2 linked regions of the Xenopus tropicalis genome follow. The main gene of each other region encodes a partner of the protein of the gene in region 2 in a complex. Links are inferred from orthologs where the notes say so. Each region holds a gene or a part of one and is shown on either strand. Other genes may lie near its edges.

Region 1 (4,784 bases), about 9.4 Mb from region 2:
ACACGGGCCGATTGTAGCTGCCAATATCGGTTCCTTGGACCGATTGAGCAGCTTATTGGCCCGTGTAGGGGCAGAAATGACGGCCATAGCCAACCGATATCTGGCCTGAAATTGGCCAGATATCGATCAGGCAGCTTAAAAGATTTAGTCAGATCAGGGACCATATCGGCACGTTGATGTGGTCCCCAAACTGACTGTGCCATTGCCGCCGTTCAAATTTGATCGTTTGGCCTACATTTTCCCAATATCGCCCACCCGTAGGTGGGGATATCGGGAGAAGATCCGCCTCCTTGGCGACCTCGCCAAGCGAGCGGATCTTAACGTGTATGGGCACCTTTAGGTTGAGAAGTAAAACAATGAATTTGCTTCCAAACCTTTTTAACCCACTGAGATACCAACATAGAAAAACCAGTGGAAGGTACCCAAGTTCAGCAAGTATCAGCTCATTGGATTCATTATTTACAGTTAACTAATTAAATGCATTTTTCAATGTCTCTGCTTATTACTGAGAATGTGCCTGACCAGACAGAGTTCCAAAGGAAACATTCAAATAACCTAAGTTAGATGTGATTATTATTTTCCTTGTGTTTCTCTCTATCTAGCCAAAGGCAACAACAGCCCTTTAGCAGGGAAGATCTGTGCCTCCAAAGTTGGGCAACTTATAAATGTCACAATACAAAGCTGATTAGTTATTGATTTAGATTCAGATTACACGGCAACAACAATGAATCAGCCCTGTAGCATCAGCTTCTATAACCGGCCAGCCTCATTTTCTGCTTGATAATTTGCTACAGCCCCTAAGCTTAGCTTTTCAACAGCTGCCCAGACCTTACTGAGCATGTGCAGCGACACTTCTAAAAAAAAAAAAAAAAAAATACAAGATGGAGAGCTCCTGTACATAACCTTAAAGACTGGGAGCATTATTGCTATAAAGAGCCTTTCTTTAGGTCTCCATTAAATATCAAACCTTTAGAGGTGGCACCCAGGCTTACTGAGCTGCTATTAGGACAAATGAGAGGAGAGACCGTCACTTGTTAGCAAAAGATGGACTGTCTATGTGTCACAGCTGCCAAAATAAGCACGTTTGCAGTGATTATAAAAATGTGAACAGCCCGCAAAGAAAGATTCTAGAAAAATGTAATCGCTTATTATAATACACAAGTTTCAGTGAGTTACATCACTAAGAACCATTTATAACTGATGACATCACTAAGCACTGTTTATAAGGATATCATTTACAGGATACTCTTGTGATATTCTCTTGCGTATTATATATTTAGAAGCAATAATGCAAAAGCCACAGATATCCCGGTGGAACATATTGTTGTGGGAAAAGAGTAAAATGAACATACTTTTAGTCGGTATCTTAATTTCTTCATGCTGAATTTCTGTTTTCATCTGCAAAAGAACACAAAGAATTAAGCTTTCTTTGGGCCTGTATCCTGCACTGCTTGCTGTGCATTATAGTAAGGCAAGGGTAATTCCTGGTTTCACTGTATCACTACACACAAGGCAAAATACCACATTGTTCACGATTGCATGAACAGTCCTAGCAAACATCTAACACCCGAAAAAAACAGCACCTCTTGATTTATTAGAACTGTGTGATCCTGGGTAAAGTGTTTGAGTGTTTTGAATATATGTTTAGCAGCTTTCTAGCTTGGAATTTCAACCACTATCTAGTTGCTAGGGTAGTTTTACCATAGCAACCAGTCAGTGGCTTAAATATGAATCACAGGGGGACTGAAAGCAAATGATTTTCAGCTGCAGGGGTCAGTGACCCCCATTTGAGAGCTGAGAGCAGAAGGGGAAAGAAAATAACTCTATAAAAAAAAAAAAAAAGAAGACCAAATGAAATGAAATGTTGCTGAGAATATGCCATTCAACATGCTAAAAGTTAACGTACAGGTTAAATGCATGGAAGAAAAAAATGGACTTCACATTCTCTAAGTGTGTGTTTTAATAGCAGGTAAAGGGAATTACAAGTAATTTTAGCTGCAACCATTAGGTTCTTGCTGAATTACAACACTCAGAACGACTCTAACAAACTATGAGTAAAGGCAAAACAGCTGAACAAGAGCTATAGGACTGCAGGATGTACATCCCTGGGGAATATACTATAGGTAGGTGACAATGGTACATCCCTGGGGAATATACTATAGGTAGGTGACAATGGTACATCCCTGGGGAATATACTATAGGTAGGTGACAATGGTACATTCCTGGGGAATATACTATAGGTAGGTGACAATGGTACATCCCTGGGGAATATACTATAGGTAGGTGACAATGGTACATCCCTGGGGAATATACTATAGGTAGGTGACAATGGTACATCCCTGGGGAATATACTATAGGTAGGTGACAATGGTACATCCCTGGGGAATATACTATAGGTAGGTGACAATGGTACATCCCTGGGGAATATACTATAGGTAGGTGACAATGGTACATCCCTGGGGAATATACTATAGGTAGGTGACAATGGTACATCCCTGGGGAATATACTATAGGTAGGTGACAATGGTACATCCCTGGGGAATATACTATAGGTAGGTGACAATGGTACATCCCTGGGGAATATACTATAGGTAGGTGACAATGGTACATCCCTGGGGAATATACTATAGGTAGGTGACAATGGTACATCCCTGGGGAATATACTATAGGTAGGTGACAATGGTACATCCCTGGGGAATATACTATAGGTAGGTGACAATGGTACATCCCTGGGGAATATACTATAGGTAGGTGACAATGGTAACAGGAGCCTCCCCTAAGGGCCCACTGGGGCATGTATAGCAGCAGCCCTGCCAACTGTGAGAGCGAAGCAGCAGACTGTGTAGCTAAGGCTAAATGAAACACAACAGATGTATAACATACACAAGTGACATCACAAGTTAATAAATGATTATATCCCTGCGGCTGTATAACACCGCTGTGCATGCTGGGAACACAGAACACACCAGCGAGGGAAGGTGCACGGCTCTCACCTTCACTACTTCCTCTGCTTCAACCAAGTCACTCGTTGTGGCCGCGGGAAGTGGGCTGAAAAGCTCCGGCGACGGGGAAGACATGTTACCAGGAACCCGCGGGAATTCTCACACACGCAGAACCGTGGGACAGTCACCTGACATGCTCTGCGGCGCGCAATCATGTCGTCACGGCGAGTCAGCCTATCAGCGCTTGTGGGCGAGGGTTCTGCGTCGCGCAATCATGTCGTCATGGCGAGTCAGCCTATCAGCACTTGTGGGCGAGGGTTTAAGGCGTAGCGAGCTCGGGTTGGCGCCTGGTGTTGCTTCATGCGGTGACTGAAGTCTAAGGGGGAATGAAACTGCTCAGTCCTGCTACTTAATAGCTGCTCCTTAGCTGCTAACTGATATTATGGGGGACGGAGCTGTGAGGCTTATGTAGCAACTCTGGGGAAACTTGCACAGTAATCCAGGGCAGCCAATCAGGTTGCTGCTTTTGCTGTAACTGCATAAAAACTAATCAGTGGTACCTGTGGGCTACTGGGTCGGTGTTGTTCTGCCCAGGATTAACCAGCGTGTCTTTGCTTGGGCCCAGACTGGCAATCTGTGGGTTCTGGCAAATGCCAGAGGGGCTGCTGTAAGGTGCCATGTTACTATTTATTGGGCTGCTGGGGGGAGTAGTCTGGGCCTGTTTATGTTCATAGCTGTGTTGCTGATTTTTAAAAGAAGACTAATTGCACAGAAGCATTTCAGTACCTTCCAGTCCTTTTTCTTTACTCGCTTCTCTTTGCTAAATATCCCCAGTGAGTGGTTTTAACTGCGAGCTATAAAATGATTGTCCTGAGACAATGTGTACAAGTGACACAAACCCATGTAGGTCAATAGAATCCAGACAGGGCTGTTCTATATACATGTATGTTTAGGGTTTGTTTAAAAAGACACAACCCTGTTGTCGAACTCCATAAGCCAGATATTGGTCGTTCAAGGTGTCTGGTTTGGTGGGCTGCAGTGTGTACATTTAATCAGCCTGTAATGGGCAGCTTAAAGGTGGCCACATGGTCGCACGAAACATCGTCAGATCCGCCACACACCGTTCAGGGCTGAAACAGCAGATAAGGAGGTAGAAACAATAGGATTTCTACCTCCTTCTGCCGATTCAGCCCTGACGGCAGATTTTGGTCAGGCGCCTTCTATGGCACCCTATCAAAATTTTCTAACCTGGCCGATCGGCGAGTTGACCGATATCAGCAGCTTCCTGCGATATCAGTCGACTTGCCTACATGCCATACACGCACCGAATATCGTACGAAACGAGGTTTCGTACAATAGTATCGGTGCGAGTATGGCCAGCTTTAGAGAGCAAGGGCCAGATATTGTTGCACTTTGAGGGTTGGGAGATTACCAGGACTGATCCTCCCTTCTTCCCCAACATGTCTTTTTTTTGTTTGCTCTCCCCTCAACTTTTCAGCTTTACCTTTACAATTTTGTTTCCTTGTTCTGCAGTCTGGAAACATTGCTCAGAGATGCTCCAAGTGTTGGCAGGGAAAAAACGATGTCTCTTGAATTTACGGGCAATGGAGGATGTCTGCTCTCCATATGTGATGGCTGACAGTTGACAGTCCTGCAGGCCCAGACCGCAATCTGTGGATTGTAGCAAATATATTGTGGGCCCTTCCTGTACTTGACATTCCAGGGCCTGTTGAATCTCAGTCTGGAAATGCAGCCCTGATGCAAAAGTTTCTTATAGTCTAAATGAGCCTAAGGTGAACAATGGTAAGAAAGTACCTAGGAATACTATGGAGTAAAAGACTT
Region 2 (4,577 bases):
ATGAATGTAGTTTAGCCTCAACTACATAACCATGTAAATATATCAAAAATGAATCTAAAGGCCACACAAAGAGAGAAGAAAATCCTGACCCTGGTGGGCTAAACATACTCCCTGGATGTCTTAGGGCAGCCCTTTGTGTGATTCTATAAATGGACCCACAATATACAGGAAGGCAGCCTGAGGATGCCACCTATGACAATAAGCACTGTCATAGAAGGGCACAGGCACATTCAGATGATTACCATGCTAAGTAAATGGGGGTGATTTTGTTTTTGTCCCCCACCCATGCAGCCAGGTGAGAAAATGCTAAAAACTGTATTATGAGTCTTTGCCACTTGCATAGAAATGTAGGGCATGCCTTTGCACTAACTTCATGTCTTCTATAGGCCATATGGCCCAAGATGCACCAAAGCTCTGCACTTTGTGCTCCTTCTCTATACCAGATAAAGAGAAAGCTTGGGAACATTTTAGTTACAACTCCTGTAGCTTAAACCTTAAGAACTTTACAGTTAAAATACATTGCTCTTATATGAAAAAGAATCCATAGCATATAGTACTGGAGTATCTACACTGGTAGATCTGGCAGGTAAGCAAAGAACTAGCTCCTAGTTCTAACTAAAAGAGTGTACGTTTTAAAGGGTAACTTTGTGGACAGATTGGCCCCTGGCCCACCAAAACTCAGACATTTAGCTGGGGCTGAACTGCCAGAATCCCCCTACCACAAAGAATTACACACAATCCCACATGCAAAGCCAAGGGATACTGCTGTACAGAACAGATATGAAAAAAAGAACAGAAAGCAAAGAAAGGGGCCAAGACAGAAACGTTGCCCCCTTTCACCATGCAATATATTATCAGCATTGCTTGGGGCCTAACAAAGCATAAACATTCTTAAATACTGCCAAAGAGTACAAAATATTAAGATTCCCATAGCGTATTAGACATCCTTACTTCCAACTCGTGTATAAATAAACCAAATCTGATTCAATAAGGGCCTCCTAATTGGTGTAAATAATACAGGGAATTAGGAAATGCTTGGAGCCAATAATGTAGGAGCAACTCTAGAAATGTTCTCACGCCACAAGCCATCAAACAAACATAGGACAAGCTGAAATATAAAGTCAAGATTGCCAGTATTTCCAAAATACAATGAACACTTCAAGTATAAAGGATACTGACTCCGAAATAGGAAATATCCTAAATGTGACTCAGTACGACCTTTAAAGGTAAGGCTTGAGGGACCTTTCACTCTGCCCCCTTCCCAACATAATATATTGTGGAACAAACCTAAAGCAAAAGCATTTCCAATCTGCAGCCTTCTAGCTGTTATTAACAGCAATTCCTGGCATCCTACCAATGTAGCTGGTGTTGTGGGGGTTTTAGTGCAACAATAGGAGGGCCACAGCTTAGATATGCCTAATGTACATTTGTGCCATATGCATCTTTCTACAGTGACCCCTACACAATACTGTGCATCATCCATTTCCCACGTGGGTCATGCAGCCCAATCAGTCCTGTGCTTAGCCTTAATTGTTACTACCATAACCAAACTTCCTACTGCAGCATTGTACTCTGTGCTGCACTTTCCTCTCCCAGGCTGCACATGTAGGCCAGGCCTTACCCAATCAGCACTGGGAGCAGCCAGCATGTGTCACTGATATGAGTGGGACTGATCAGGCAGCCCAGAGGAATGTCTCCTCCCTGCAGCAGCAGCAGCAGCAGCAGACAATGCTCTCGCCTTCATTAGCATACAGCTGACACTTAGGGCTTTTCATAGTGACTGTCCCACTGAGCAGCATGTGGCCCCAGGAGGCTGTCTGACCCAGGAAGCTGGCTCTATAGAACAAATGGGAGCCCTAACCCCCCCCCCCCCCCCCCCCCCCCCCCACACACACACACACACACACACTTTTACTACCAGTTAAAACTAAATGGCTTCTCTGACCATGGTAAAAGTTTCACACCAAAATGGTGTGACACAAAATGGAGGACTATGATAAATCAAGGTTCCTTAAAAAGCTAAAAAATAACCAGAATCCCCTTCTGTTTGTATACATTGTGCATTAAAGGTCCCAGAGAACAGCAGTGCACATTCTCCCTCACTCACACCCACCCTTATCCTGCTGCACAGGAAAGTACAATTAGCAAGAGAGCAGGGATGCTTGAGTTTCCAGAACAGACACAAGGCTCCACTTGTTCACTCCAACTGCACATGTGCACTACTACACACTATATACACTACTACGCACTAATAATCAGAACTCAGCATTCTAACCACAGGCCCATCACAATAACAAACTCCATCAGAAAAGCAAAGATTACCCATGAAAATTGTTGCATGCTCCATTGATCAGAAATTCCCAATATGCTGATGTGTGACTACAAAACCCTGCATCCCCTAATATCCTCTGACTTCCATGGAATGCAGGGGCTTTAGTTTCCCCAACAGCTGGTGGGCCCCATATTGCATATACCTGCACTGTATAACTACAATAACTTGCAGCAGCACAAAATTCAAGGATTTTCCCCCAAACATTGTGCTCAGTGTCTATGCATAGGAACTTCAAGTGGGGCATATATTGTACATATAAATAGGAGCAAGTTATTTTTTAATATTTCTATTATTGCTAAACCCACCATGGAATCAAACAGTGACTAAGCATGGCAAACACACACATATATATATATAGGTATAATTCATATATAAATACAATATAGCCTGATGCACTTGGAAGGGTTACTTAGTTGTAAGAGTTAAAACAATGGTGTATATGAAAATCTGTCATCCTGCTACATCTCCCCACAGCTCCAAGCAGTCCTGAGTACAAGCCCAGAAATCAGAGTGCAAAAGCAAGTAAATATGAGGAATATTATCCAATAAGTCAGCAGGGACTACCCTCCCCCCCAGGCAGAGCATGCTGCAGGAAATTAGTGCATTGTGTGGGACCATGAGAGCCTGGGGATCAGCATATATCCCAGTCTTAGGGGGGATCAGGTAAGTGGGAGGATAGAAGGGGTGACCCTTATGCAAGGGACCTACCTCAACACAGGACACGACTGGCTCACTATTCCCAGCTCACTACTAGAGCCACTCTTTGTTACCATTGCCTGAAAACTTGAAAATGAGGCAGGCATGAGCAACCGAGCGTCGAGCGCATCCACCGCGCACATCCGCGATCAGACCTAGCCAGGCACAATCAAAACAATTGGCATGTTATCTCCTGGGCAGGCTGAAGGTTGCTAGGAATTCTCAGGCATCGGCTGCTTCACTTACGTCATGGACTTTTAAACGGCAGAAGTCCCGGCGCAGTTTATTAGCCACAATCTTTAGAAGGTTACCCCGGCATGCTGGGAATTGTAGTTTAGGGAAACTGGCGAGGCTGATAGACAATGTTTACGGTTAGTGTGATTTGATAGGCTGTGCCTTTCAGCAGGAGGAAAATAAATCTCTGGGTTTTCTGCTGTCCTAGTGGGATAAATTGAGCATTAATGATTGTGATTATCCAGGCAATGTACTGGGCAAGGAGGGATGCTGGCTTATTTCAGATAATTTCAGAAGCAAACTTTAGAAGGAAAAATAAAGATGACTTTCTGTTTCATTAATAAGCAGCACTGTATGGCCATATAGCTTTATGTATGGGCAGATCATTACTTCCTTGCTTATTGGAAGCACCATGTTTATTGATTTTGAACAGACACACACCATACTAAGGACAGAAGATCACACAGTAAGATCATATGTGACTCATTGGACCGCAGACACCTAAATGGTGCTTTGATTGCCCCAAAAATCTCTATGCTTTGTGTGAAATCACCTACTAGAATGTAAAGAATGGAGGGAGACCATTAAATATCCAAAAGGGTAATGCTTGGGCCTTGATAGAGGCAGATCAACTATGGTAGGCCTATGTACAAATGAACTGCTGGCCTATCAACCTACCCACCTGTTGCTGAATAACTAAGGGTACACAAAATAATGTGCATAAAGTAACATGTATATAATTGGTTACTTTGCCTTCAGTTCATGACAGATGTAATGTAATAGTCTTGAAATGTATTTTTCACCAACGTTTTTTTCAGAATTGCTTAAAACCCCAAGGGGTGATTCAGGGTTGTGCCTTTCAGGTGGGGATTAGCTCTACATGACCTATAAAAGATTAAGAGTGTCAATGAGCAGATTAACATTCTCTTGTCATGCCTGAGGCAGAGGATATTGCCATGGTTTATTTCAATGTTTCTCTATGGGACCAGTCTGCCTTGTGCAAATTTTATCAGGCTTGAGTGGACACCTTGCCTCTTCTACATGATAATGACACATTTAAAATTAAAGTTGCAGAGAAATAGGCTAATTAATCACTCCTCACTGAAAAATATTTAGGAGAACTGTAGGTTAAGGTTTCCCACAAGATATTAATGCCAATGGGACTTGATCTCTGGTTAGTAGCCATGCTTACATTATGATACAATCAGGGGAATACTTTTTTACATTACAGCTCCTGACCTCACTTTAAAAATCAAAAAATCAACCTTTATACAAGGAGGTTAAAGAGTTAAAATGTAATTGTGTTTCCCAGGCA

The links.
Region 1: tfdp2 (region 2) and e2f6 share a complex: the UniProt entries of both Homo sapiens proteins name them as parts of the DRTF1/E2F transcription factor complex. The link is inferred for Xenopus tropicalis from reciprocal best matches to the Homo sapiens genes TFDP2 and E2F6.

The regions. Positions count from the first base shown.
Region 1 is NC_030681.2:138,934,900-138,939,683, forward strand, and holds the start of e2f6 (transcription factor E2F6), read right to left. Parts: upstream 3,216-4,784; 5' UTR 3,078-3,215; coding exon 2,994-3,077; intron 1,399-2,993; coding exon 1,353-1,398; intron 1-1,352. UniProt on the Homo sapiens protein: Inhibitor of E2F-dependent transcription. Binds DNA cooperatively with DP proteins through the E2 recognition site, 5'-TTTC[CG]CGC-3'. Has a preference for the 5'-TTTCCCGC-3' E2F recognition site.
Region 2 is NC_030681.2:129,560,860-129,565,436, forward strand, and holds the start of tfdp2 (transcription factor Dp-2), read right to left. Parts: upstream 3,250-4,577; 5' UTR 3,041-3,249; intron 1-3,040. UniProt on the Homo sapiens protein: Can stimulate E2F-dependent transcription.